Lonchura striata: one gene and its partners. The protein of the gene in region 2 interacts with the protein of the main gene of each other region in a pairwise test. Links are inferred from orthologs where the notes say so. Each region holds a gene or a part of one and is shown on either strand. Other genes may lie near its edges. The genes, in order: RAP1B, RALGDS, RAP1A and RRAS2.

Evidence for each region.
Region 1: the proteins of RALGDS (region 2) and RAP1B interact in binary tests that used the Homo sapiens proteins (3 or more experiments, as listed by UniProt). The link is inferred for Lonchura striata from reciprocal best matches to the Homo sapiens genes RALGDS and RAP1B.
Region 3: the proteins of RALGDS (region 2) and RAP1A interact in a two-hybrid assay, tested with the Homo sapiens proteins (3 studies listed by BioGRID and IntAct). The link is inferred for Lonchura striata from reciprocal best matches to the Homo sapiens genes RALGDS and RAP1A.
Region 4: the proteins of RALGDS (region 2) and RRAS2 interact in a two-hybrid assay, tested with the Homo sapiens proteins (2 studies listed by BioGRID and IntAct). The link is inferred for Lonchura striata from reciprocal best matches to the Homo sapiens genes RALGDS and RRAS2.

What each region holds. Positions count from the first base shown.
Region 1 is NC_134607.1:44,334,341-44,341,819, forward strand, and holds the start of RAP1B (ras-related protein Rap-1b), read left to right. Parts: upstream 1-4,466; 5' UTR 4,467-4,578; intron 4,579-7,479. UniProt on the Homo sapiens protein: GTP-binding protein that possesses intrinsic GTPase activity. Contributes to the polarizing activity of KRIT1 and CDH5 in the establishment and maintenance of correct endothelial cell polarity and vascular lumen.
Region 2 is NC_134624.1:7,653,428-7,660,750, reverse strand, and holds the start of RALGDS (ral guanine nucleotide dissociation stimulator), read left to right. Parts: upstream 1-4,322; 5' UTR 4,323-4,346; coding exon 4,347-4,526; intron 4,527-7,323. UniProt on the Homo sapiens protein: Functions as a guanine nucleotide exchange factor (GEF) activating either RalA or RalB GTPases and plays an important role in intracellular transport. Interacts and acts as an effector molecule for R-Ras, H-Ras, K-Ras, and Rap.
Region 3 is NC_134632.1:5,464,881-5,472,688, reverse strand, and holds the start of RAP1A (ras-related protein Rap-1A), read right to left. Parts: upstream 3,013-7,808; 5' UTR 2,949-3,012; intron 1-2,948. UniProt on the Homo sapiens protein: Counteracts the mitogenic function of Ras, at least partly because it can interact with Ras GAPs and RAF in a competitive manner. Together with ITGB1BP1, regulates KRIT1 localization to microtubules and membranes.
Region 4 is NC_134608.1:50,467,098-50,474,167, forward strand, and holds the start of RRAS2 (ras-related protein R-Ras2), read left to right. Parts: upstream 1-4,057; 5' UTR 4,058-4,179; coding exon 4,180-4,284; intron 4,285-7,070. UniProt on the Homo sapiens protein: GTP-binding protein with GTPase activity, involved in the regulation of MAPK signaling pathway and thereby controlling multiple cellular processes. Regulates craniofacial development.

The DNA of each region.
Region 1 (7,479 bases), on a different chromosome or scaffold from region 2:
ATGTAATGGGGTGGAGAAGGACATTCTTGGGAATAGTGCGGAATTATAAATGAGGAAACTGTTGGTTTACAGCTTTATACTGACACATTGTGATCAGTCATCACAATGCCATTGCATCCAGCCCTTTTATGGAAGACTTTGAAGAACTATCCAGGTATCACAGCAGCTGGTGATTCAGAAAGTAGTAACCACCTTTCTGCATCATGCACTGCTAGAAATGTTCTCTTGGAAAAGCAGGGAAGTGAAACTTCTGAAGCTTTGAAACTGTGAAAATTTGTGTGTGACTTTCAGCTTTTTTTTTGAGAGAAATAATCACCCATATCCTAGACAGATTTTCCTCCAGGTAATTATATTCATTCTCTATTTTCAAGTAGATACATTATTCTTAATTTAAACTTTTAAAGCACTTATGTTGCTGTGACAATCTTGTTCCTTATCTGATGAGCTAGTTGTCCAAAGCAATTTGAAAAAGGATTTTCCACAGAGGATAAAATAAAGTAGGCTTTTCCTTTTACTAAACGAATCCTAATTTTTAAGAGTTTAAAGTCCAAAGCTTGGGACATTTTCTTGAATTCTTCTGCAATTCAGAGTACTTTGCTTTCACAGCACCTATGTTGTGAAACAGCTATTCCTTGCTTTATCTGGAGTAACTGCAGTGATATAAAAGCAGTCTCCCAAAGACAGAAGAAAATAGATTAAAAAATTAGATACCTGTAAATAAATGCTGACATTTACAGTTTAAATTGCAGTAGTGTCCATTGCCTGTTCTACACCAGCTTAATAAAACAATAGCAAATTTTGCATCTCAAAGCAGTTATCACTTTGAGGGTACGGAAGGAGACAAATCACAAGATAAAGGGAGGACAATATTGTGTGAACAAATAATAGGATTTTGGCCAAGGATAAGGAAAAGGGCTAGTTCAGTAAGAGATTTTGGCAGTTAAATTGAAGAGTCATGGAGCATCACTCAGAGATAAGAAAAAGCATTAACTCAAGATGGTTTGAAGGAGAAAGAGGAGCGAAGTGACAGAATTTTCCTCAACAATGAGGTAAATGCATGGAAAGTGAAAAAAAAATTGAGAAAAAAGTCTTCATATTAAGTTTCAGTCAAGCTTGTGATTAAACCAATATTTAAACACCTTTGATTAACAAACAGCAATATATCAAGAAGATGCAATGAAGAGACATTAAGAAGCAGAACTGCATAATGGATGCTATGTCTGAAGGGAAGATGATGAACAAGTAGAACTAATAATTATCAGGTGAAAGAGTCTGGAGGGGAAGACACATCCCTGAAACATCTCAAGGTTCTATCCAGACAGACAGGTATTCCCACTCTGTGTGACTAAATCTTCTGAGTATGGAGAAATAACAAATAAAATTAATTTTGAAGGATACAGAATGAAAAAACATTTCACATATCTATGTCACAAGAATACGTTATTTTTCTTTAGTGTTAAAGAAGTTTTCTCTTTATTGCTCTCATGATCCAAAACACATTCTAATCTAGTAACCATTCTTTGCTGGAACAGCCGAGTTGTAAAGCTAAGAATTGATCCCCTTCAGTCCATTCCCCTTAAAAGATGAGGAATTTGCTTCCCCTCTGAAAGTAAAGCATCCTATTAGGATTTGCCAAACAGCGTTTCTTTTTCCATCGTGGCAAATTTCTAGAAAAGCTCACAGATAGTTGGCATGCAGCCAGCACTGTATTCCCTGGCACTACATACCCTTTTAACTTTAGTTTGCTGGCAGAAGCCAGCTCTGCATTCTGTCCCAGAGATGGCTGTGTTTCAGCAGTAATGAAACTGCAATACACATACTGCTACATTCTTCACTCCAACACCCATGCAATCCCAATGAAAACAAAGCAGGTAAAGTCAGGAAAATTACACAGAGGTGACCAAAGGCTACCCTGACAAGCTTTTATTAAAGAATAATTTAAAAACTATTACTTTGTTTTCTGCAAATAATCTGTCAACCCCCACCTTATTCCCCCACTAATTCCACTGAACTTTTTAACAAGATTAGTCAGTATTTTCCTCCTCATTTTCCATGAGGAAGATCTTCTTCATGAGGGGGTCACAAGAGCCATGACATTATCAGGTAGCTCATTGTGTTAGTAATGAGCAGACTGAAATACCTACAGCTAAGCACTGGTCATTGAAATAAAAGGGTTTTGAAGTACATGCAGGCAACTGGTAAATTGGGAGACAGAGGTTACAGCACAAAGGACAAGTGTTACAGTGCTTTAGGAAGGTCTATTTGATATTAAGATTCATGTGCATAAGCAGGTCTCAGTAAACAGGCAATTGAGTATTTGACCTTCTTCTTTTAAAAATTCCAGATCAATGCTGGGCATGGGCAGCCCCACTAAAGCAAGCTGATGTATCTGTGTTGTTCCTATTCAACACAACAGTGCTGCAGCCGTATCCGCCTCATTTCTCCCATACTCCTAGCTCTCTGGGGTGTTGCTCTGTCATAGGGAAACCTCAGCACTTGTTAGCAGCCTGAGTGACCGTCAGCGATCAGGCAGGTAGAAACTCTGAGCAAGCTGAGCAGAACAAGCCCCTGTGAAGTACTGGGTGAGTATGCCTTGTTAGCACACCAATTGCTCTTTGCCAGTCACACTGATATCAGTAAAGCCGGTTTAAGAATTGAGCTGAGGATTAGCTAGATGATTCATAGGAAAATCCAAAATTAAAGGCCCAATTTATATTAAAACTATGTGGCGGAGAGAGTTGGGGAGAGGGAACACTTGGTCTCTTGCTTAGAATGAATCCTAATTGACTATTTTTTCTGGTTACAGAGATCGATTTCCAAACATGTCTAAATTAAGCAAACCATATATTTATATATGTATATATACACTTCTTGTAAAATACTAGGTTTCAGATACTCCTATATGAAACTCAGAACACCACGATCTGCTCACAGAGATTTAGTCAAGACTCCAAAAGGCCACCTTCCTCTTTTCTTATTGTATAGCAAAGAGGAGTTTTTGCCCCAGAGCCTATAAAACACAGAACAATTAAAGGCACACTGTAAAATTCTATCACATTAATGACATGTATCTGTTCCTGGAACACTGCAAGTTATTTGTGATTAACCTAGTTCACTGAAGAAAGTTCTGAGGGTTGAGGATATTTATTTTATTCTTTTCCTCTAAATATTTCTGGGTGCTGATAACAGTTATCTAGTGACAGGACAAAGTAAGAATACAAGTATTTTTCTGTCTGGTGAGCTAATATGCTACACAGCTAATAATTGCATGAAATGCTCTTCTGATTTTCATTTGAAAGGCTGTATTTCACCTATTCATCTCATTAATGATTTTTGTCCTGCACAGGATGCCTTGCCAAGAAAGGACTGGTTTCTATGGACTTCTCACAAGCAGAGCTGCCTTGCATTATCCTCATTTACGGGGATTCATTATCAAAGGACTGCACACGGGTTTAAGCTGTAAAACACCAAGAGATTTGTCTGGACTTTGGAAGAGATTTTATGACATTCAGGATTTGGGAGCAACACCGTAAAAGAAAAAATATTTTTTAAAGTGCATTGCTTTCTGGATGCCCTGTATCTTGATGAAGTCTTCCCTACCAAGGGCAGTTCATTTCCCTGGTCATCCTTTGACCCTGCTCTGAGCTTTAGCATCTCCCACAGATTCTCTTGAACTCATACGGTCTCATTTTCTATCTCTGTCCTATAGACAGAAAGCCACTGCTTCCTCCACACCCACTCTCCTTGCCAGAAGCCTCACTGCAACTTCCTGTCAGTTTTATGCACTCTTGTGCAAGTGTGGAAGTAACGTGGACTTCCTCAGAGCACAAGTTTTGTCTGAAAGCACCACGTTAACTCTTTGCTTACTAAGTGTTTCCTAGAAACATAAACGCTCATTTATTTTTTTAAATCTTTATCAGCTAAATATTTTGTAACTGGAAAATATGGGTGACGGCGGGGGGGGCGGGGGGGGGGCGGGAAACGTGATTTATGTATTTAGGACTAAAATAACAGAAAAGCTAATACCCTGATTATTTGCAGGCACTGGGAATCCTGCTTTGTATAGGCAAGACTAATGAAAGGCTGTTCATATCCAGAGGCATACTGGTCCACATCAAACCAGCAGTATGCGGCATCTCTGAAAAGCCCTTCACCAGCGGGTCTCAACACCTCTTTAGAAATGCAGGCAATAGTGCAGTGGCATTTACTTTTCCAGCTCTTTACGTTCTTAATTAACTTTACGCAACCACGAAGCGCTTTCGGCGCACGCTCTCCCGCCCGGCGCGCACGGGCAGCCGGCCCCGGGCCGCCGCTCCCCTCGGCGGACCCCGGCCCCGGGGTGGGGCGGGGCGGCCGCGCGCGTGCGCAGGGGGCGGCGCGCGGGTCAGCCCTCCCCCCGCCCGCCCCTCCCTCCGCCCCCGCCGCGCCAGAGCGAGGCTGGGCGTGCGGCGTCACGGCGACGGCCCCGAGCCGCGCCCCGGCACAGGCGGCGAGCGGAGCGGAGCCGAGCGGAGCCGAGCGGAGCGCGGCGGGCGCAGCGCAGCGGGATCGGCCGGCGGGGAGCGGAGGCGCTGTCCGGTGGGTTGCGGCGGGCAGCGCGGGCCGGGCCGCGCCGCTGTGGCGGGGAGCGGCGCGGCGTCTCTGGTACAGGTGGCGGGGCGGGGTGGGGTGGGGGCGGCGGCGGCGAGAGGGGGGTGGCGGCGGCGACGGCGGGGAGCGGCGCGCTCTGAGGGAAGGGGCAGCAGCCCGGAACGTGGCGGAAGTGGAACCGGGAGCCGCCGCCTCGTCCGGCCTCAGGCGTGGTGGGACCCCGAGGGGGTGGGGGGAGCGGGGCGCTGAGGGGCAGCCGTCGCGGCCGGGCCCAGGGCCCGGCCCTGCCGTCCGCCGCATCCCCCCCGCCCGCCGGTCCCCGGAGCAGAAGTTGGAGCGGAAGCGGAAAGTTGTAACCCCGCGGGTCGGGGCCGCGACGTGGGGCCCGGACGGCCGCGGGGAGGGGCGGGTGACGCCCGGCTCGGCCCCGCCGCGGGCGGGGAAGGGGACGGAGCCCGGCGGCCGCCGGCGTTGTCAGCGGGAAGTCCGAGGCGAGCCCCACCTAGTCCGGCCGCGGGAGAGAAGCCGCTCGCTCTTTCCGGCCGGTGTGTGGGGGCGAGGCGGGGGGGCAGGCCGGGCGCGGCTTGTGCCTGGGGGGGCCACGGAGTGGGACAAGCAAACAGCGCGGGGGCCTGCAAGTTCCCTTCCTGCTTATCACAAAATGAAAAGGAAATGACAGGGATGTTCGCCTCGTCTAAACACCCCACCATCACCCGTGTCAAAGCAAATGGAAGAATTTGACTGACACTTCCTGCGCCAAACCCGTCTAATGAGCCTGAGGTCGTCGTACCCTTCTGTGTGCGTTGGTGAAGAGGTGGTGGAAGGAAAACAAAGTTTGCAGAGGAGAGAATAAAACCAAATCTGAATGTTCTCGCATTGGCCCTAGATTACAAAAGAGCATGAGAAACCAAGGTTTTTGCAGAAAAGAATACCACGCTTTTACTCCTGTTTCCATCTTGAAGGCATGGATTATGCTGCTCAGGGTAAACGACACAAAAAAAGGAAGGTCTTTCTCTGTACTGCTTTGGGATATGATAGTAAGGAAGTACACTTCAAAGAGAGGGTATGTCAGGTATGCCCAGGTTGAAAATCATACAGGTTTCATACGTGTTCTTGCATTTAGACGTTTTGATTAGTGTAATTGTAATTTTCCGCACATAACAGCTACATCTTACCCCAGGATGAGATGTGTAGACAGTGTATGACAAAGACTTTTCAGTACTTTTTCACAATGAAGTATATGTTGAAATTACTCTTATAAGAAAGGGAGACAAGAAACACTCTTCCTTTCCATGAATTATAATTAAAAGGCAGTGAAGCAATCACATTGCCTTTAAGAATAACCATTCAAAAACAAGTGTATTTCGCTTTGGAAAGAGTCTCTTATCTCTGTGAAAAACTTGAAACTTTAACTTACTACTTTTTGGATGATTTGCCTCTATATTAAAATCACAAGCTTTTGGGAGGGGAAGAAACCAAACGAGACTTGGTAGAGTTTAATATTTTCATTTCTATTATTCATTGCATCTTTTTTTACTTTTGCTCAAAATCTATCCTGTAGACTTTGTGAATAGTGAGGGATATTTATACTATTCACATTAAAAGCTTTGCAAAAATTAACTAATTAGATGTGATGTTTTATTCCTTTGGTACCTCTGTTTCTTGTAGCGTTATGAGCTACTTCAGGTTTAACTTAGAGCTGTAGTGTAAAACCATATTGCTATCTGTACCCAAGTAACTGAGTTTGGAATTACACTGTGCAATATAAGTGCCATGCCATGTATCTTTTTTGCAGCAAGGATGATCATACTTGGAGCACCTCTCTGCCTAGGAGTGAAATAATCTGTTAAACAGAGTTGAAAGACCAAAAAAAAAGTAAAACCAGAACTTTTAAATGGGGGGGTGGGGGTGGGCAATAGACTTTTTACTGTCTGTACCTGTGCTTCTATTACAATATATGTGCACCAGATAAGTTTTCTGAGTGGAATTAAAATTGTGCTATTTTGTTCCAAAGCTCTCCTGTAGGACAGTTCATCAAAAATAAATCTGAAATGAGCCATGACAGTTCTTTTTGTGCTGTGCCAGTTTTTGCAGAGTAAAACTGACTGTCTTTTTAATTGAGAGCCTTTCTGGAGCAGAGGCAAACAGATGGGAATCTAGGTGAGGTCCTACAAAAGGAGAAAGAAATTGCTTCTATGGCTGAGGAAGGAAGTGTGCTGAAGGCTACACTGTAGCTTGTGATCTCGCAGTTAGTAAATGTGACAAGGAACTAAAATAAACAGTTGTCCACCTATCATCTGGGATGTGGGAAGTGCAAGAGTCACAGAAGTACTTGAGTACTTGACGCTTACTGCTACTGTGCCAATCCTGTCATCCACAGAGCTCTGCTGGCTGCTCAGGGTTAGGTACAGAGAGGTGCTCTTAAGGATAAGAATATCTTACCGATAAAAACAGGCACTCTTGTCCTTGGATGTATGCTGAGAGGGTAGGCGGATCCTTTGTGAATTGGCCTAAGTAATGCTTAGATGACTTTCAGATACCTAGCTGACATTTGAGAGTGTTCGTCAGGTTAGGCTCCAGTTGGGAGTTTTAATCAAATTTGCTCCCTTAGTAAAACAGATCACTCAGCACAAGCTGTATGACACAAGTCTGTGTTTAGCTTGTGGTTGTGAATGCTGCCACTCCTTTACCTCAGAACTAATCCAAAAGCAGACCGAAGTGCACTGTGTGGTGTCAGTGTGCCGAATCCCTGCTGAGTTGGGGCAGGCTTCTGCTGTGTTCTGTTGCATCTAGGTCAGGTAGAGGGATATTTTAGACAGCCTCCTTGTTCAGAGAGATGAAAGGAGTATCTACAGTAACTACACCTTCTTATTTCAAGACAAACTTTGT
Region 2 (7,323 bases):
GGCTTGGAGCAATGTGGGACAGGGAAGGTGCCCCTGTCCATGGCAGGGTTTGAACGAGACAATCTTTAAGGTCCTTTTCAACCCAAACCTGTTGGAATCTAAAAAACCCAACCTCCCCAAAAAAAATCTATGATTCTGCTACGGCCAAGGGGGTGGTGTAAGGAGTAGGATGGAGGAGAAATATCCCTGCAAGCTCTGGAGTCTCCAAGGCTTGTGGAATAATTGCTGAGCTTCAGGACCGGCAGCCTCGGCAGGAGCTGCCGTAGCCCAGCTGTGCACAGGGGCTGCAGGAAATGAAACACAGAATAGCTGGATGGAGACTTTTAGATCCTGATTGCCTGGGGATTTGCTGTGCTTCCTCTGCTAGGAGCTGACAGTAATTAGGGGCTTGCCTGGCTGTGTTAATGCTTGCCAGCACAGCGTTCACAGTGCCTGATCTGTCAAAAACAGCCCCGAAAAACGCCCAAAACCTGGAGGCAGAGTGACCCAACTGCCCTGGGTCTGAAATACTCAGCAGAGAATCTCCTAAAATCCGTGCCTGCTGTAAGCTGTGGCAAGTGGTGGGTGGCTCTCATCTAAAATCTGGTTAAATCAGGGCATTGGTCATGCTGGGAGTGAGAAGTGGGTCTGTGAGGGTCTGAGATCTGTTGGTCCCCAAATCTGGGGGAACCCAGTCTCACATCTCTTACAGATTGTATGGACAGAGCAGTGACAAAATTTTCCCTTCTTGCACAAGCTTTCCCCCTCATCCTGAAGTGGAAGAGACAGTACCGGTTGTTTACTGTTGGATTATTATTATTACTATTATTATTATTATATTTCTTATAAAACAACCTTCCAGCTGAGTCTGAGCAGTGAAAACAAAAGTATTTTCCAATTAAAATTGGAATGCCCAAAAGATTTTGATCTAGCATGTAATACCTAACCTCCAGCTAGTAATTCTTGTAACTAGGTATCACTTTTCCTGCAAAATGTCTTGAAAACAGCAAGAAAAGGGCTTCTCCAGCTGCACAATAGAAGGAAGTGCTAAGGGCTCCATGTCAGAGCCCGACACAGACTCGCCTTGTGAGCTGGTGCCAGAGCTGGGACAGAGGCTGGACAACATTGCAACTCCCACATAAAGCAGCCCAGTTCCCCTCAGAGGCTGCAGATTTGGGTCCTGGCTCTCTTGCTGGTCCAACAGTGAAAGCTGGAGGTGTGTGATGTTCCAGAGGGGCTCAGTTAGAGGTGGTGAGGGTGATTCCTGCCTCCTCTGCTCAGGGCTGAGATCAGCTCTTTGCAGCTCCTGGCGTCGGTCCTGCTGTGGTTTCACTGAGGCTCAAAGGGAACAGGGGTTTGTTGGGGTGCTGGCAGTGCCCTGGGGGTGCTGGCAGTGCCCTGGGGGTGCTGGCAGCACCCTTGGTGTGCTGGCAGTGCCCTGAGGATGGTGGCAGTGCCCTGGGGATGGTGGCAGTGCCCTGGGGGTGGTGGCAGTGCCCTGAGGATGGTGGCAGTGCCCTGAGGATGGTGGCAGGAGCACTGGGTTGTTTGCAGGCAGCTGATGCCAGGCAGGAGCAACTCCTGTGGAAGTGTTTGTGAGCCATGCTTTGGGGTGGGCAGCCTCACTTGATGGCAAAATAAACCAAACTCCACAGCAACACTGAGCACAGGAACTGGGTCGCTGTGAGTTTTGCCCTGTTGGAAAGATGCTGGAAAGCCCCACTCAGCAGCAGAGCAGGGAGATGAAAGCAAAGGAGGGCTGGAGGATGCAGCTGAGGGAATGTTCAGACACCCTGTGCTGAGGAGAGACAACTCGGGGTCCAGGCTGAGCCCAGTTATTAACTGAGTCTGAATCTGCAAGTCCTGACTATAACAGATTGATTCCCAAACCAGAAAACTGGCTTAAAGTTTCCAAAAGTTTATCTGTATTACCCTCTCCACGTTATTGACCCTGCAGGAAAGGCTGGAGACTGCAGCAGAGGAGCAGAGCTGCTCCAGTGTTGGCTGTGTGGGTTTTTATTTATCCAGCCAAGAGCTGATTTCAGAGCGGTGGGAAGACAAAAATCGGTGGATTTCCCACAGCACCCAATTCCTGGGCCTGCCAGAGTCGATGGGACATTTAGAGATGACAAGGAAAACTCAGTGCGTTGTGAAAAGTTTCTTGCTGAGTCTGCCAAGTGCAAATTCGCAGTATATTTTTTTAATGAGTCACTCAAGCATTGATCGTTTTCTTAAATCCCCGAAGTCACGTGCATGTCAATTAATCACATCTTGCAACAATTTCTTGACCTTCAAGGGTGCTGGAGGGAAAGCTGAGGCTGTGATGCTGCCTGTTCCCTTCCACCTGTGTGCTTAAAGGCAAACAAGAAGCCCTGAAAAGTTATTTGCTTTGAATCTCATGATTTTCAAGAGCCTTGCCCCTGACAGCCGAGTGTTTGGGGTTAGCTGGGCAGAGCAAACATCCTGAACTTGGGCTCCTGACCCCGCTTTGAGTGTTTTGCTTTTCAGACCCAGAAGGTTCCCCAGAGAGGAGAAAGGAAACTGACTGGCTATTTTTAAACCCCCGCAGTTGCCTTCCTGCCTTATATTATTTATTATCCATTATCAGAAGTGTTTTTCCCCTGAAACCATCTTTAGTGGTCAACCGGGGGACGCAGAAAATTGCCCATCAAACAGAGCTGCTTCTTTCTGCAGAGGTCAGACGCAGCTGGAGGCTCTGGGAGGGCTCTGCCAGCTGCAAATGAGTGCTGCTGTTGTTTGCTGTGTGCACTCCCGCCGTGCCAAGCGAGTCCAGGCCTGGGCTGTGATTACTCTGCCCTAAGACTCAAACATGAAGCAAAGCAGTCTCCCTCTCAAATATTTCACAGCCCAGAGAGGCAGCAGTGCTTTCTGCTGGAAAACCAGGTCCCTAACTCTGCTTTTAGCGTGTCCCGAGCAGAGGGATGCACAGCACCGAGTTTCACAGCACATCTTGCAGTGCCACATGGTTCCTGTGTGATGTGGCAGTGGGGCTGGGGACACCTCTGCAGGGAGTGTGTATTGCCCCCCAGAGATGTGGGGCAGTGCAAGGCCCTGCTGCTGGGCTGGGTCCCCTTTCCCAGGATGTCCAGGAAGTTTCCTTTGACCTCTTTGGCTCCAGATAAAGCAGGACAATAACCCACGTTGTCCTGGCTCATCCTTCTGCCTGGTAAACTTTCCAGTTGGAAGCTATCACAGCCTGGCAGCTTTGTTAATCCCTTCCTGCCCGGGCAGGAGCTGCTGGTGCCCTGGGCAGAGCTGGACATGTGAGCCTTGGCTCCATCCTCGCTGGAAATCAAGCTGCAGGGCTGGAAGGCCCTGGGAGGCCGATGTTATTTCAGCTGCAGAGGGAGCTGAGGCATGAAAGTCCGGGTTTTGGTGGTGTCAGCAGCAACTGGCCGGGCCCTGTGATGCAGTTTCTGAGCAGTGTGCGAGGAGGGAAGGGGAAGAGCAGGGGAGGGTTGGAGCACGCAGTGCTCGGCGCAGGGGGCTGATGGATGACAAACACTTCAGCCCGTTTCTCTCTGCCTCTGAAAACAAAATGATGTTGCAGGGGTCCTCTAAAGTGGGATCTGCAGCCCTGCTGTCCCCCAGGCTCGTTTTGCTTTCCCAGAGTCCCTGCTGGGCTGAGAGCAGGCGCTCTAATCCCTAATCCCCCCTTCGCCTGTGCATGGGGGGCCTGGCGGTGACTCACATCACTTCATCCCGCAGGGCTGTGACCGTGTCACCGAGCCCAGCCGTGGCCAGCGAGGGGCTGAGGCTGCTGCTGGGGGGCTGAGATAACGCTCAGATGAAAACACGTGCTGACGGCATCCACTCGCCCGCAGTTAACACTTTTTCTTTGCCTAGTGGTGCGCGAACCCCAGGTGCTTCAGCAGCACCTGGTGACACAAAGATCCTCTCCCAAAGCCGTCGTCACCTGTGTGACTTTCCCATCGGCGGCGTTTCCCCCGCCCAGCTGGGACTGGAGCTCTGACCACCCCCGCAGCCCCCCGAGCATCCTCCCCGCTTTGTGCGGCCTCGGGGCTTTTCTCGCCTCCCGTGTCCCCGTCCCCCCTCCCCGAGGGGGCCGAGCCGCGCCGGGCCGGCCCCCGGGGGCGGGCGGAGGCTTCGGGAGGAAATCCAGCGCCTGCTCCGCAGCCGAGCCGGCTCCGTCCCGGCCCCGCCGTGACATCGGGCCGCTGCTCGGGCGCGGGGGCGGCCGCGGGCTCCCGGTGCGTGCCGCTCCCGCTGCGCTGCGCTGCCCCCCGAGCATCGCCCCCACGTCCCCGCTGCGGCTCCCCGGGCAGCCGGGGGGGCTGGCGGGGCCGGCGGCGGGTTGCGGGGCCGGGGATGCGGCGGCCCCGCCGATGGTGAGCCGCCGCCGCGCCCCGCCGCGCCATGGCCCCGCCGGCCCCGAGAGGATGTTCGAGGGCTGCCGGCGGGCGCGGAGCCTCTGGGGCGGTGTCAGGCTGGAGGTGGCCGGCGAGAGCAGCCCCGTGGTGCTGCACAGCTTCACGCAGCTCGACCCCGACCTGCCGCCGCTGGAGGTGAGTGCGGGGATTTGGGGGGTTTGGGGTGCTGAGCGGCCCGGCCCCGCTGCGCGCCCCTCGGGGGGTTGGGGGGCTCCGCCTCGCTGGCAGCGCGGGTAGGGCTGGCCCGGAGTTTGTGGGCATCCGCGGAGTGTTTCGCAGAATTGCGTTACATAGAATCACGGAGCGGTTTGGGTTCGAAGGGACCGTAAAAATCATCTTTCCCCACCCTGCCGTGGGTAGGGATGCCTTCCACTACCCCACGTTGCTCCAAGCACCGTCCAGCCTGGCCTGGAACGCTTCCAGGGATGGGGCAGCCGCAGCTTCTCTGGGCGCCTCACCAGCCTCACAGAGATTTTCTTCCTAATATCTAATCTAAATCTCCCCTCCTTCACCTTAAATCCTACCACTGCATGCCCTTGCAAAAGTCTCACCAGCCTTCTTGCAGGCCCCTCTAGGTGCTTTAGGTGCTTCATTTTGTTGAACAAATGGGTGCCCCTGCTTGGCTTTTTTTGCTGTGAGTCCCTGTGCCCCTGGGGACTGGCAGGCAGCTGCCAGGCTCGGCAGGGAGAAACCAGATGCTCTCCCTCCAGGCACCCAGGGAAAGGGGCTGATTGTTAAAACTTCGGGCTTTTAATATTTCATTTGAGACTTTGGCTGCGGGAGGCAGGAGTCTGCTCTGATCTGAGCTGTTCGTAAGGGCTTCAGGCTTGTCCAAACCACAAAAGTGTCCTCTGGGAAGGTTACGGGCATTGGGAGGACTTTCCTGGAGGATGCAAAAATATTTGTGCTTGTTTGGGTTCAACCTCGGGTGCTTCAAAGTCAGGCTGGTCGCAGCGAGGCCCGAGTGCTTTGTTGATGGCAGTTGCATGTGGAGGCACCCGAAATAATCTGAGTCAGAGCTGGGCCTTTTATCTTAGTAATGGATGATCGTCATCGGTGCGGTGGGAGTGTCGCTGATCGGGAGCAAACGGTGTGTCAGGAGGGGCTCAGCGGGAGGAAGGTTTTGCCGCTCAGAAGTCGCAGCCCTGGCGGTGCAGGGGTTAATACCAGCGAGGGTCAGCAAGCCTGGCTTTGCTGGGATTTGGAGCCAGCTGCAGATGTGCTGCTCTGGATGCTTCCCGCTGGAATGGGGGCGGTGGAGGGGGGGAATGGCCACTAAATCCTCTCTCGTTGCCGTGCAGATATCCGCCGAGGGCAGCCAGCCTTTCGGGGAGGGCAATGGCTCCTTCTCCCAAATAATCAACCCCACAACCTGCCATGGAAAATCCTGGTCAGGAAGGGATGAGCTCAGGCTCCGGCTGTTCCGCTTCACCTCTGGCCTGGTGGCAGAGCTCATCAGCTCTGTGAGAGTTCATGAAAGCTCCATCCAGCTTGTTTTCCCCCCCTCTCCTCTCCCCGCCCGTCTCTCCTCTCCTGGGGGTGGGCGTACTGACATCTTTGGAGTGCATCATCTGGTTCGTGTTATGCCTGGCAGGAAGTCCAGCCTCGGCCCGCGGCGCTCCGGGAGGCTGAGGGGCCGCGCTTTTGGCTGGGAGAGCAGGAGCAGGAGGGGGAAAAGAGGGAAAAAAGGGGGTCATGCAGCGTGCTGCCCCCCTCATCCCATGGGACAATGTGCCCTGCCTGGAGGAGGCTCTGGAGCTCAGGAGAGGCTTTGGAGCATCTTGGGCGATGCTGTGCTGAGAGAGGTTCATGTTTTGTGCATGGCCCCCACTGGCTCTGAGCAAAGCCCAGCTCACCTGAGCATGGCACGGGCACAGCTGCCAGGCAGAGCTGCTCCCGAGCTCTCTGTGCACGGGCACAGCTGCCAGGCAGAGCTGCTCCCGAGCTCTCTGTGCCCACGTTTCTGTGGGTTTGTGCTGGTGAATGGTCAGATCCGCTCGCTCAAGCGTTCCTCCCGGTCCTGAACAGAAATTCCTTCTTTTTTCCCTATTTCCAAGTGATGCTGAGAAAAGGGGCAGCCCAGAGGGGTGCACTGTGTGACCCACAGCCTCCTGAGCAGCCTTGGTGCTCATTGCATGAGCGGGGAGAGGAAAAAATGTGTCACTGTTGTGACAACTGTGGTGGCCTGGTGGGGTTGCAATCCTCAGGCAGAGCTGCGGATGCACACTGAGAGGAGAAAGCAGATTATTTGAATAAGATCCCCCGGGGACCATCAGTGTTTTGCTGAGCCCCAGTGACAGTCCCCAGGACACGGTGGGACCTTTGTCACCTCAGCCAAAGGGAGCTGTGCTGGATTTTGGCAGAGCTCGTGGGTGGATAGTCTGGTCCCACAGGGAATGGAGGATCCCTGGAAAGCTGCTGGGCAGGCTGCAGGGAACGTGGCTCTCTCTGGTCCTCATGGCTCTCTCTGGTCCTCACTGAGACCCCAGGGGATGGCAGCAGGGAAGACTTTGCCTGTATCCCACAGCAACGGTATCGATCAGCAGGCATCACTGTGAGCCAAGTGCTCTCACCAGGATTTTAACCACGGGGGATGGAAAATTTAAACCAACTGTGTCTCAACTGGGGGATTGATAGAGCAGCTTTGCAGACCTTTTGTTTTGACCTTTTCAGTTCCAATCCACTCCATATTCAGCACTGAGTGTCAATCCTTCCAGTCCAGCAGGAGCCACAGGGTGAATTTGGTGGCCCTCCTGGTCCTGCTGGCCAGGAATGGCCCAAAACACCACTGCAGATGACACAGACTGAAACTTTCATGCAGCTGATGTTGCTGAACCTCTGAGGAGGCTGGGCTGACTCATAAAAAAAAAAGCCCTTATAAAAAAAGTCCTTGTAGTTCTGGCTGTGTTTGTTTTCTGAACAATTAGGAGAT
Region 3 (7,808 bases), on a different chromosome or scaffold from region 2:
CAGCATCCACAGCCAGAGCCAGCTAAGCTGATTTTGGCAAGGTTGAAAGTAACACTGGATCAAGGATAATCCTGAACTTCAAACAGCTACACATAAAAAACACTTCAAATATAAAGCCTAAAGGTTTGAACTTATGTATGTTCAAAAGATACACTTTGTTTTCTCTAGGAAAGCAGATAACAGGTTCCTGTTGTCAGAGCATTAGGATTCCTCTTGAAGATGATTTTTTTAAGTCTGCAAAGCTGCACAGAAGCAATCTGTTCTCTAAACACTGAGCACGAGTTCAAAGTGCCACCGAGTGCGCTGTGCACGTGCAGGGTACGAGAAAAAGCACTGCAATATAAAGTACAAACAAGTGCTTGCTGTTGTTTATGCCCAGCACGATGATTCAATATACAATTACAACTTTAATGTTCAAGCACATCCACATGTTGCCCTCCTGCCATTTAATTACTTTTCAGTTTTTTTAAGAACAGTCCTCAGACTGGCCGAGCAGCCACGAAATGTATCACTAATAACCTATGTCCGTGTATTTGCAGCTCATGGCTTCACATATAAACTGTTCTGATGCCCTGTGTAAACACCAGTCTCCAAATAAAAGCATTAACCTGTGCTGGACTTGGGCAGTGCGAGTTAATTCAGCCCGTTTGGCAGGAGATCCTCTCAGAACCTTCAGCAAAGCTACTTACCCTAAAAACAGCCACGCCAGAGCCAGGACACGTGATGGCAGGCAGCGCTGGGCTCCGGGGAGCCCCAGGGTGACAGCCTGGGGTGACAGCTCCGGCCTGGCGGGCACTGGGGTGACAGCCCGGGGTGACAGCCCAGGTGGGACAGCCCGGCTGGGACAGCTCCGGGGTGACAGCCCAGGTGGGACAGCTCTGGCCTGGGACAGCTCCATCCCAGGCTGGCCCTAAGGCTCCCCAGCCCCGCAGCTCCCGGGCAGCCCCATCCCGTGCAGGAGCTGCCCTGAGCGGGGCAGCTCTGCTCCTGCGAGGCACGCCAACGCTGTGCATAAAAACAGATTATTTTTAGAAGCGGTGCGAGCGCAGCACTTCCTGCCGGCTCCACCTTGAAGAACGACAGACGCTCTGTCACCCTCCGTTCCAAACCCAGGATTTCACAACTTCTGCTACCTGCCACAACACAGAGAGGCAAGGGACAATCTGCCGAGAGCGGCAAGCGACAATTTCCCAGTTTGTGACTTGGCACTAAGCGCTTCTGTTGGAATATGTTGCCAGTCTTCACTCGCGTCAATAAATCGATGCCTTTTTTCCTGCCGCAGGGATGAACAGAACATTAAATGTTTTTATTTATGACACTGATTTTTTCCATAGCAACCGGATGTGAACATGGCATTCCCAGCGCAATGAAGTCACTATAGCAACGTGATAATGATGTCAGAATAATCAGACAGCATTTCATACTTGTGAAATATATCGCTTCTGTGAATTCAGAAAGTTGCGGAGACCACAAAAGCTCCATCTGGAACTTCCCTTTAACTTGCCTGGTTTTGGATAACTTCTCATTAAAGGCACAGAGCTTTGCTAATGCACCATTCTCTGTTTCTACAAGCTTCATCCATTACTTCCTGAGAGTCTCACAAATTCCCGCATTAAAACCCTTTCAGATCCGAGGATCCGCTACACCAGGGAGAATTACTGACACACCATTTCAGCATGAAAAAGGCAATGACACAAATCACAACAGTGAAACATTTCACAGCAGACAGGCACTGTCAACTGAACAGACGCTTTCCTCAAGTCTTCAAATAATCTGGTGTCTCTTTGCGTGGAGCAACACAACTACTCAGAGAGAATTACAACAGCAGCAGAAATTACAGAGTGCCGGTACAATACTCCGAAGGCAGACAGGCGTTTTCAAGTCAAACACTATTTTAAGATATATTATCTCCCCTGTTAAGCTACTGAAAGGAAAAAACGCAGTTTTCATCGTTTGCCCTTCCTGTTTGCAGCTCTTTCCAAGCTGTGCGCAAAGCAAGACCCAATTCCAGCTCTGTGTCAGGGGGAACTGGCTCACTGCATCCAAACCCCAACCTTCCCACCGAGGAGACTTCGCAGGAATCCCTGCACCAAACCCACATGCCCTGTACCTCAAATATCGCAAGCAAAGGCACCAATTAACGAGAAGTATCTAAACACCAAAGCTTCCCTACACAGAGCACAGTTTCTCTTTAAAGCGACTGAAGGAAGTGCAAGAACCCTTTTCAGAGCTGAGGTGGTCTGACACAACCAGTCCTTGGGAGTGGAGGATGAGGATGGGCTGGGAGGGTGAGGATGGGGATGGACAGGAGGGTGAGGATGGGGATGGACAGGAGGGTGAGGATGGGGATGGACAGGAGGGTGAGGATGGGGAGGATGAGGATGGGCCAGCCCGCTGCTCCACGTGGCTCACGGGGGGCTGCCCCTTGGCTTGTCCCAGCTGCCCAAACCTCCTGCCGCCCATCAGGCCGGTTCGTACAGGCTGTGCCCCGTCCTGCCGTGCCTGTGCCAGCCCACCCTCCGTGCCTCCGGCCTCGCTGTCCCTTCACTCCGGCGCTCCTCGGCCCCGCACGATCCCCGCGCCCCTTCCCAGCGCGGGGAGCAGCGGGGCACCGCACACACCTGACCCCGCCGCCACCGCGGCAATTGCGCTGATCCCGAGCCCGGCGGCACCGCGGGCAGCGCGCAGCCCGCCCGGGGCCGCACGCGATGGATGCGGGACGGACCGGCGGGGCCGGCCGGACGGACGGGGCCAAGCCGCCTCCCCGCGCTGCCGGCCGGGCCGCGGGAGGGAGCGGCCGGCGCGGCCCCGCCGCCGCCCGGCCCCGCCGGACCCCGCGCCGGCCGCTGCCCCGCTCCGCCCGCGCGGCCTCCAGGGCCCGCCGGGACGGCCGCGGCCGCCGCTCCGCCCGCCGCCGCCCGGCCCGGCCCGCCGCCGCCCCCGCTCACCGCCGCCCCCGGGCCGCCTCCCGCCGCCGCTCCGCCGCCGCTGCGGGCCGGGCTCGGGGCTCGGGCCGGGCCGGGCCGCTGCCGCTGCCGCTGCTGCTCTGCGCGGCGGCGGCGCCGCGTCCGCTCCGCCCTCCGCGGCCGCGGCCCGGGGAGGAGCCAGCGGGGCGGGCGGGGACGGCCGGAGTTCCGGGAGGGCCGGGGCAGGTGCGGGGCTCGGGCCGGGCCGGGGGTGCGCGGCCGGCGGGGCCGGTTCCGTCCCGGTTCTGTCCGGGTTCCGTCCCGGCTCTGTCCCGGGGGTGCGCGGCCGGCGGAGCCGGTTCCGTCCCGGTTCTGTCCCGGCTCCGTCCCGGTTCCGTCCCGGCTCCGTCCCGGTTCCGTCCGGGTTCCGTCCCGGCTCCGTCCCGGCTCCGTCCCGGTTCTGTCCCGGCTCCGTTCCGGCTCCGTCCCGGTTCCGTCCCGGTTCTGTCCCGGTTCTGTCCCGGCTCCGTTCCGGCTCCGTCCCGGTTCTGTCCCGGCTCCGTCCGGGTTCCATCCCGGCTCCGTCCCGGCTCCGTCCGGGTTCCATCCCGGCTCCGTCCCGGCTCCGTCCCGGTTCTGTCCCGGTTCCGTCCCGGTTCCGACCCGGGAGAGCACTTCAAAGTGTTTTGTTTATTTTTGTAGAAAACTATGAAAAGAAAGAGCTGTAACACGGAAGTGCACATGTAATTGACACGAAACAGATAAAACTGGGGAAGAGGGAACGGCACATACAGGTCCTGATGGTGTTTTTGTCACCGAGGTTTGTAGGTGACGGCAGCCGGACAGAGAGGATCAGGTCAGAAGTCCTGCACAGTCGCTGATCTGGGAGATGGCCTCATTAGCCCCAACTTCAACTATAATTCAGCTCCAAACTGCACACTCCAGAAAACCTAATGTCAACAGTCAATAAAGTTCAGGGGCTTTTTTTCTTGTTAAGAATGCATAAATACCCCAGAGGAGCTGTAGTAGCTTCCGTGGTTGCGATGCCCGCTCTCCACGAGGTGCAGAGGGATCTCTCGAGCTCCAAGCACTGTCACCTCCTCACGTAACCGGGGACAGGAGGAGCACTGCGGCTGTCCCTGGGGATGCTCCTGCAGAGGACGGTGCCAGCAGCAGCAGCAGCACACCCACGGGCCTCCCCACACTCCCCACCGCCGCTTGCAAAACTTCAGGGACACGAGCAGATTCCCTGAGGTCACACGCTACAGCAACAATATTTTAGCAGTCATGCTGCCTCTCATCCAGAACTCCAACAAAAATGCTAAATATTACTTGTGTGGCTGTACAGATGAGAAAACAAAGATTAAATGACTTATCCAAAATGCCCAGCAAGTGAGCAGCCAGGAGGCACACAGAGCTCAGCGTCCCCACTCACCCTCTGTAACTGAAAGTGCTCCAGTTCTCCTCTCACAGCTCTGTGCGTGCAGCAGAAATAAATACACAGCGCACAATTTTGCTTCCAGGTACAATTTGTGGCTGCTGATACCCATCTGTAAATCCCTGTTTTTATGGCTTAAGAGGTGTCTCCTTCCCTGGGGACCACCGTGCTGGGAGCCAGGTGAATCACGGCTGCATTGGAGTCGCTGGAGGCAGGGCGATGTCAGCAAAAGATTTCCACACTTTGCAGGATTTGGCAGCCTCAGCCCTGAGAGGCTCAGGCACAGTGGGACAGTCGGGGTGGCAAAAGCATCTGCCTTGAAGGATGCTCAGCACTCGTGGTTGAGCACCTCGTTTCTTCAGAGTACAAATGTTATCGTGAAATCTATGAACTTAGGAAGTTACTAGGTCAATGTTTAAAAACATTGCCTGTGTCTGGAAAACAGGCAGGGACAAAATCAGCAGTAACTTCTGTTTTAAAAGCTGTGTAAAAACACATTCCTATGGGCAGAAACGGCAAGGGATGCAATTCCTTTAAAAGACTCAGTGTACATTTGAGCATTCTGAAGGCTTCACCCCAAATTTCCTTTGAAATTAAAGCTTTAACAAGCTTTGCCCCAGATATCAAGACATTTGCAGCTCTTCCCACTGAACACCAACTGAAGAGTTTTATTGTATCTAAGAATCACACACTTATCTATTTCATGGCTTGTGGACCATCTTCCAAGTTTCAAAACAATAAGGGTCCAGGCACAGTGAGGGCCTGACTCAGCAAGACAGAGCTCCTTTTTGATGTGTGTTCTGGGAAGGTTGACTTCTTCCCCCGTTTTCTGCAGGTTTCAGTGGAGGCTGATAACATTTATTGCTGAGTCAGGCTTTGCAAGTACATGAAATTAGATCTGGATGAGTGTGAACCTGGCTATGAAATGATTAGAAGAGGAGAAGCAGGGCCAAGTTCAGTGAACTCAGAGGCACTTTTCCTAGTGACTCGTGCAGGGCAAACATCTGGATCCGTTTCTCCCAGTCCTGCCCTCGCTCGGGCAGATGCAGCCCCTGAGCCAGAGCTCTCCCTCCTGCCTGCTGCTCCGTAGCTCTCGCCCAGCAGTGGGCTGTGGTCAGCAAATCCCCTCTGGCAGCAGGCAGTGACATCCACGCCTGTGTCTCCTGGGTGCTTTCCCTACTTCTGGCAAGTCCATGACTGCAGGGACACCTGCCTGGAGGGCTGGAACCTGCACCAGCCCCAGCTCCACTGCACACCAGCTCAGCAGCAGCACAGGAGGTGAGCACAGAGAATCGATTCCCTGCACCCTGTCACATACAGGACACAGCCTGTAATGTCCTGGACGCAGCCCAAGAAATCCAGTGACCCGTCCCTGTGCAGTTTTATTGCAAAAGGTGTCATTTCTCACAGCCCATCTGTTTGTACAAAGCAGGAGTTGCCACAATAGCTTCTTTCCTGAACTCTAAATCCATTCATATTAAATTACACCAAGATTTCACTCCCCTTTTCCTGCTGTATGGCAGTGGTAAAAGACTGAAAGGAAAACACTTGTTTATCCCAGAACCTGCAACAGGATTGCAACTTTTCACCTGCTTTTGCAGCTGAGTTGCCGAGGTTGCACTGAGTCTTCTGCAGGCAAATTAATATGAAGCAGAATCCTTCGGGACTTCTTTTATTCCAAAACAATAATTGCCCAATTGGATAAATTATCACAAGTTCAGCTGATGTAAATATGTAGCTAAGGCCCATTTGCTGATTTAATGAAATTCAGAAACAATTTGTGATTGCATAATGACCTTGGATTCCTGGCTGATAGAATCAGAGGGCTGGAAGTAAATGAAAGTGGGTTTGACACCATGCAGGCTAATTACACGTTATCCTGTGCCCTGGCTGTCAGAAGTGAAGGTGCTGACTGCATCCTGCTCCTGTCTGAACTTAAGCTGCACAAGGAAGGAGCTGGTGCTCTCTAAACTTACAATAATCACTCTTTAAACTCTAGTCAGGGAAGAATCAAGAGAAAAACGCTCATTCCAAAGACCTCAACACAAGCCTTTGAAGTGCAAGCATAATATTTTCTTTCCAGATGAGATTGCAGTGTATAATTATGAATAATGACTAATGATGTAATTAGCAGTGAGCAGGCACATGGCTGCCAGCAGCTGCCCTGGCTGAGGGTCACCGAGCTCACAGCTCACCTCCCACGCTGTCCTTGCCGAGCAGAAGGGATCATTTAACTCAGCCCAGCTTCCCCAGCTCTGCAGGGCAGGAGAGCTCCGAGCCTGAGCTGTTCCCAGAGCAGACAGGACCAGATTCCCTGGAAGCCCCATCCCTGATCCCTGCTCCCACTGCAGGCTGGCTTTGTTCCAAGCCCACTGGCTGGCTGGGAAGCTACCAGGCAATTAGGCAGATTAGAGGGGAGCTGTGGGGTCTGGGAGGGGTGGCTGGTCCCAAGGCAGGGCTCTGCAGAGCTCCAGCAGGCTTCCAAAGGGAAAGCCTGCACTGGCTTTGCTCCTGGGCAGCAGTGCTGGGGCCATGCTCCTCCCCAGCCCATCCAGTGTCCCTAAATCCCTTGAAATCCCAGGCAAGGCTGGATCCCAGTGCAAACTCAGGTATTTTCCAGGTTTGAGCCCTAAGGATGTGAGCACCGGGACTGCAGAAAGGGTGAGGAGGCAGGAACAAGACCTCCCCTACCAAAACCACCAGCAAGCCTGGGCTTTCCTCCTTTGTGGCTCCGAAAGGGACATGGGATGCAGGGAGGCTTCTTTTGCAGCTTCCCAAACATTTCCCTTCCTTGTGAGCATGCCAGAAGGGCCTGGAGTCTGTCTGGTGTCTGCAGCTCTGCAGAGTCAGGAGAAAGGCAGAGGCTGATCGGGGTTTCTGGTTCAAGGGCTCTATAAATACCATCAGAGGCTGTGAAACTCACTGGGGAAGGAAGCACAAATCCCACTTCCCCTGCTCAGCTACGGCAGGGAGCTGCCAATTGCCATGGACAGGGATTCCCATGGTTCAGGGTGACAGCAGCACAACGGGCTGCTCGCTCTCTGCTTTCTGCAAGCAGGAATTTCCCTGTCCAAAGCTCTAGCAGCCTGGATTTCCTCCCAGAGGAGCCTGTGAAGGAAAGGACCCTCAGAGAGCTGAACCTGAGCAGAGCCAGCAGCCTGGGCACCTCTCCTGGCTTAGCTCCCAGGCGCTCCCAGGCACCTGCACAGAGCCCCCAGAGCACAGCCCAGGGCCTGGTTCTGCCCCCACTAACCCCATCCACAGCTGGCAGCACGGCTGGGGCAGAGCTGCTGCATTTGCACAAGAAAAACCCAAACCAGAGGAGCCTGGAACTCCCCAAGCCCTGCGGGGACAGGCCCAGCCTCAAGCAGGAGAAACTGGGACAGAGAGCTCAACGTGAGCAGCAACAAGTGTTATTCTTCCAGCTGACAAACTGTGCTCACTGCTCAGAGGCAGCTGCAAGC
Region 4 (7,070 bases), on a different chromosome or scaffold from region 2:
ACTTTACTGGAATAGGTAGATGTAAAAATAGATGAAGATTTATAAAAAGCTGTAGTTACTTGGCTGAAAATAGTTTTACTTTTTACTCAGATAGAAACTAATAAGTGTGTCTGAGGAGAAACAGCTTATTTTTCTTCCTGTTTCTGGGCATTCATTGCTCATTAAATAGCTTATGTTTTTTGTATAGACAAGAAAAATTATCAGTTCTTTTCTTCTGAATTAGGTCTTACTTTCCTATTCCAAGGAAAACCAAATTTTTTAATGTCTTTTTTTCTCCAAGCTTTTTGTTTTATGGCTTTGAGAAATCCAGTTTCGTCAAATATTCTTATGGTCAAGAGTGGAGTCTTTGATGGGAATTGCAGCACATGGATGTCCTTTAGGTGAAACTATCCACAGGAGAGGTGATGCTTATGTCCTGTTTGAGCAAGGTCAGTAAACAAGGGATAAGAACATATATAATCCTAAATCAGTGGTATAACTCAGAGTTAGAGTTACCTGCCACTTTGACTCATGTCCCAAAGATTTTTGTAACTTTTTTCTGTGCTAAGCCTGAGAAGAAGTTTTTTCTAATTAAGCTTTTAGGTTCTCACGGAGCGCTTTTTAGCTTTCAATATGTCACTTACTGCATACACGTCTCCTAACCTTCCAAACCCACTTCTCTGCAAGGCTGCCAATGTAAAACAAAGTTCTGGATCTTTCCCTCAAGCACTTCCTGAAGTATTTTTTTTCCCTGTCATTACATAAAGCATTATGGTGATCTTTCTTTTAAGCCTGCCATCTGGATGTCATTCTGATTTTGTCTCTTTTTAAATATGCATATTCAGACTAGACCTGAAATGACGCAGCTTCTTTCTATGCAATGCTTCTAAAAGCTGTACTTTCTTTCCCAGCTGCTTCATCAAAACTTTGGTCATGGCTCCACCATCTCAGCTCTTGGTTTTCGAGTTCTTCCTCTCTGTTATGAAATCCCACATTTGCTACCTCCCCAGGGATATGAAAACTGGTGCTGCAAAATTTATTTTCCTGGCTGCATGGAGCACTCCAAATCCTTTTTGCATCATCTTGCCCTGCTGCCTCCTATCAGTCCCAAGTTTCTTGTCTTCACCTGCTGGGTAAAGTGCGTCACCAGTCAAGCCTTTCCCAGGTTAGTGGATCTTGAAATGAATCCTGGAGTGTGTAGCTCCCTCATCTCCATATCTTTATTCACATGTATACTCCTTGTATTCTGAAACCAGGGCTCACAGCAAGGGCTGTTCCTGAGGGAAGACAAGGTGTAGGGACTGGCACTTCCAGGGCTGGACCTGCCCTGGCTGCCCTGGTTTTAGACTGTCTCTATACTTGATATTCTCTCCCTCTACTTGTGTTTATACAGCAAAGAGCAAACAACTCTTATTGACATCTTTGGGTGCAGTTACAAAACTACAAAGCCCATCACTATTCATTAATTGCAATCCATCTCCTGTTTTCCTGTGAGCACTGCTTTGTGCTTTGAAAGAATATAACTCTATTTATAAAACTAGATTTCAAAATTCACAAATGCAAAGATTTTAACAGTATTTTTTTGCAATAGACTCTCTTGATCATAATAGATGATTGTATTACTTTAACCCATTGTCATATCTACCAGTGTCATTTAAAGAACAGCAAGATTTTCTTGCAGAATTCATAAGATTGGATAGCTATATCAGTGACAATACTGATACTGTTTTCAGAATACTAAATTTGTTTTAATTTATGAATGATGAAACTGAAGTCTAAAAAATAAGGGATAATAAAAATGTTTGGCTTCCCATATAACTTTGAACCAAGACTGAGATATCCTATTTCAATAGTTTGCATAGAGATTTTTGTGTCTTTAAAACTCGCTAAAAATCTGCTTTTCGTGTCACTACCATTCCTGGCAGTAGAGTTCAGTGGTCACTGTACTAATGGCCAACTGTGAGATTGTAGCTGTATTTTGATTAAAAACACCCACTACTTGATAAATTAGCTGCAGTTTCACTTCCTCACAATCTGTACTTTTGATTTTTTCTTAGGCTAGAGAATGTAATTAAGAATTAGGGACTTGTCCTGCTGGATTAATACTCACAGTGGCCAGTGATTGATTTGTAGGTGAAAGAACACCAGGACCAGGACACGTGGGAAGAAAGTGGGTTCTTTGTTCAGCAAACATGCCTCCGGGCTGCCAGTGCTTTAGGGGCTTCCCGAGTCAAAACTGTGTCCCTGATCGCTGTGCTTAGTAGCTGCTTTATGCTTTATGCTGCTTTCTGCTCTGCGACTTTGTCTAACCTTTTGTCACTACCATGCAGTTTCATTTTCCACAGCCCCTTGCGGCAGAGATTTCCACAGTGCCATTGATTGTGTCTGTGGAAAAACAGTATCCTTTTTTATCCTTTTTTGTTTGTTTAAACTTGTTTCTTCCCACTATCACTGGGTGTCCCTCAGTTCTCCTATTTTGAGGCTTTCTCTGTTCAACTTCCCTACGCTGCTTAGGAATTTACAGACCTCTGCTTTATCTCCCTCTCACTTATCTTTTTTCCAAACTGGAAAATGTTAGGCTACGTATGCTTTCCTGTGTGAGTTGTTCCTTATTTTTGATCGGCATGTGCAATAAGGAAACGGATGTGAAAAAGCAGCTTATCACTACAGGAGAATACCGAGGCAACTGAGCCTGAGCTGTGGCATTCCTCTTCCAAAATACTGTTGTGAGTCCTGGGGACAAAGTATCTCCTTCTCATACACTTACACCATTAACTCACAAAGTAGCAGTTTGTTTCCTGTGTGTCGGACACTTCTCCCCTGAGACAGAATGGGCGTTGAAGGATGTTGTTCTTGGTTTCAAAGTTTTGGGGTTTTAAGCAGAGAAATTCAGTTAATGAATTGCAAAGCTCAGCATGACAAATTGGGTAATAGTGGAATTCAGGAGTTTTGTTTGTAGGGAGGAGGAGCCTCGCTGATGTGATTATGCCGTTCAGCAACATGATAACAGCTCTGTCATTCTGTGCTGGCAAACGGATGTACAGGTGTGTAAGATTAGACATACGTGGGGTCGTTGCTTTATATCTTCACAAAAAGGAGAGAGGAAGCGAAGAAGGAATTCCCTGAAAAATCCCTGAAAAGCAGAACTTCTGCTTCGTTGTATTATGACCATCTGCCGAGTGTTGGGTGTGCGGAAACACCCTGGGCAGTAAGGTATTACCCAAAGGGGAAGGACACTACTGGAAGATCACAGCAGCCTGTCCCCTGCAGAAGCGGTGGAGATGCAAAGGGTGAATTCACCACGCACTGAAAGCGGAGTGCTCTAACCAAGTGCAGAGGGGGCTGAATATGGGGCTGTGACATCCAGCGGTGGGTGACGCTCAGAGGAGAGGGTGGACTTGATCTGAATGGCTTAAATGAGTGAGAAACCTATTCACGTGCATGCTCGCAAGGAAACATGATGAAGAGTGGCGAAGGGCTTTAGTCACTATACCTTTTTCCCATTTTTCCCTCTTGGTGGGAAGCGACATTAGCGACGCTTTGGCTTTAAACCTCTCCGCGCCTTGGCTCTGCGAAGGGTCACCAACACCTCCCTCCCCATCCCGTGAGCATCCAGAGCCTCATGAATGTTGATGAGGCACTCAGACGGGCGCCCCGCCGGAGCCCGTGGGGACACCGCTAATGAGCTCCGCGGCTCTCTGTCTGCCGGGGGACACCGGGGGACACCGAGGGCCGCCGCCACCCGCACGCCACAAACGGCGGCGCGCCGGTGCCGCGGGCGGGCATCATGCATATGCAAGAGCTCATTAGCATGGCGCTGCGCGGGCCACGCCCCCTCAGCGCGTTCGTACGGCGGCTCCCCGCTGGCCCCGCCCCCGCATACCCACCCTAATTAGCATGCAGATAAGAGTGCCCCGCCCCTCATTAGCATGGCGGCGCGCGGGCCCCGCCCCCGGCGGCCATTAGTGCCGCGGCGCCCTGGCTGCGGGGGCGGGCGGTGCTGCGCGCTCCGCTCCGCTCCGCTCGGCGCTGCCGCTCGCACGGCGGCCCGGGCGCTGCCGCTGCCGCTGCCGGCGGCGCTCGGCGCGGCGGGGCCTGCGGCTGCTCAGCCCCGGCGGCACGACGAGGAGAGCGCCATTGAGAGAGGCGGGCGTCGGACCCCGCGGCGGCGCTGCCGCGATCGCCCCGCTCGGCTCCCCCATGGCCGCGGGCTGCAGGGACGGCCCGGGGCAGGAGAAGTACCGGCTGGTGGTGGTGGGCGGCGGCGGCGTGGGCAAGTCGGCGCTCACCATCCAGTTCATCCAGGTGAGGGGCCGCGGCGCCCGGCGGGGAGCGCTCCGCCCGCCGGGGCCTGGGCGCTGCCCGGCGCGGGGGGGCCGGGGCTGGAGCCGGCGCGGCGGGCGGCAGCTCCCGGCGGCGCCGTGGGATGCTGCCGGCGGGGCAGCGGGAAGCGCGGGGCGGGGAGGCGGCGGCGTGACCTTGAGGGGCTCGGGGCGGCGGCGGCGGGGCCGGTGCGAGCCCCCGGGAAGGTTCCGGAGGGCGGGAAGAGGCCGCCGCCCCCGGCCCGCCGGGCGCCGCCGCCGGGTGGGGTTCGCCGGCCGGGCGCGCTGCGCTCCGGGCGCCGCGGCGCTCGGGACCGGCGGCTCCGGTGCGGCGGGCGCGGCCGGGGAGCGGTGACACCCGGCGTCCGGCTCCGAAATAGCTGCCCCGGGCTGAGCATCTTGTGGTGGCCCGGCAAGGGGCCGGGGAGCTCCCGCGGCTCCCCCCGAGAGGAGGAGTGCTTGGTGCACGCTGTGCGAGCTGGGACCGGCCAGCGCCCACCGCCCCTCGGAGCGCCTGCTGTTCATCCTGCAACTTGCAGACAATTGAACTTTTTCGTCTATTCGTATTTAGTAAAAAACACTCCAGAAAAGGCGATAGTAAGAGTGCGTGTCAGTGTTACGAGGAAGAGCCCGTTTTACTGTTTCGCCACGAATTCAGCCGTACCTCCTTTACTTATTTTCATCCTCTGCCCTGTTGCTGTTAGCTTTTCTACCTCTGTTTATGGTGGTAGGAGGAGACAACTACTTGCGTTCTGCTTGATGCTCTTGCTGACGGCAGAGCAGCAAATCTGGAGAGCATGGCTTCTTGTTTGTTTTCTTTTATTCCACTGTGGACAGCCGGTAATGCTCTACCTACTCCTAAGATGGGCTGCTTGACAGCGGGGCAGATTTGTCTTTTAATGCTTGGGGCAATGATGTTCTCCACTAATATTTTGTTACAACAAAATAGGTGTTGGGTGATCTGATAGCAAATAGACTATTTCTTTATTTCAGTCGGTTTTTTCATTCACATGTGCATCCATGTGTTCATTAGCTCAACTACTCTGTTAAAAATTTAAGCTCTGCAGCATAGACTAACTACATAGAAGACATTACTTTGAATTTTTTGGGTAGGTACTGGATACTAATATGCTTATAAGATCCAATGTTGTAGAGAACATTAAAAGAGAGGACCCTTTGGGAGAATCAGTTCTTTGGAACTAGTTTAGTTTGACTGGTGCCTTTTGAGGTGTATTGCACAGGTGTCTTTTGTCAGATGTGTAGGTGGCTGGTCAGTTTTTGGTAGAATACTGGCTGGTTGGTCTGTTTGAAGGTGATGGGGCTGGAATAAGTGCAGTCCTCTCAGTGTGTGGATTGAATTCCTCATTGCTTGCGTATGGAGATTATGAAACCCGGAGTTTTCTGCAGCTGGTTTAGGGTGCCATTCACTCAAGCATGGCGCTGCTGCTGTAGGTGGTGTTGCCTGTGTCTCGCTGTGGCAGTCATGTGTGCATCTGGATGTGGCTTCAGTTCTCTGATGTTGCTGTTTTGGGAAATGTTGCTGAAGGGATTTCTGGATTGAGGCAGCATTGAGGGCTTTGGGATAACTTTACCTTTGCAGCTGTAATTTCTACTAAAGATGTAAGAGGGGGAAAAAAAGGGAAGCTCACACTTGATGTCTTTGTATAGCCATTTTTTTAAGAGCAGTATGGGGTTCTGCTGAGTACTGAAAAGCTTCAATATTTGAGTACTTGTAGAAAGTAATTCTTCAACCTAATAGTTTGAGCTTACATTAAATATAAATATAAATTTTGGGCCAAGTGCTGTGACTGACACTTGCCTTTCAGCAAATATCTGCAAAAGAGGAACCCGTGTCTGTTTTGTCACATATAAGGATCTTTTCAAATTAACAGCAGAAAAATAAATAGTTCACTTTGAAAGAGTGTTGAGGGAACAGCACTGTGGTGTTAAGCTGACACATTGAGGGTGAATTCTTCAAAACAACTTATTGTCAGTTTGCATTAAGTTATCTCCATCTTTTTGCCCTCTCGGCAGCTTTATCCTGAGATAAAATCTTGCCACTGCAAAGTGAAGTTTAGCAGAAAATTCAGCTTAAAAATTCCCCAAACAGCCCAAAACAAAATTGAATAAAAATAGCTGGGAAATAAAGACCAGGGCAGTACTTCAGGTACCTTAGAGAAGAGTTTTGTGTTGTTTCCGTGCTTGCTGTGTGGTTGTGGACAATAAGAGATGAGGTTTGGTATACTATTTATATCCCACAGCGTCTTCCTGAGCTCTTAAAGCTGTGATGTTATCAAGTGTGTGCTTTGCCATGCAGGCACCTGGGTAGTTTCTGTACAGCTAGTGTATTGCCAAATACGTTGTTTGTCTTTTAAGGCTGCACAGAAACTGCTCCAAGTTGTTTTAAAATTGATTACAAGCAAGTCACGTGCTTCATTTTTGGAATTTCTTAGGATTAAGTGACAAACGTGTAGTGGCCTTCACTAAAACATGGATCAGTACTAGCTTTTGCTACATGACAGATTCTGATGTCAGTGGAGGATTTAAATTTTTTTGCTTCTTTAGTGCTTGTGTTTAAAATAAGGCTGTCACCAACTGAAGCTTAAAAAGGAAAGCTTTTTTCCTCTTACTGATACTAGCAGATATTTCTACATTTGGTATTGCTTTCCTTTTTAATTTTCAGTAAATCAGTATTCAAATACAGCTTTTACTTTGGTGCTGATTGTTTTCCAGTAAATCAGACTTTTGTGGTGATAGGATATCATGAGG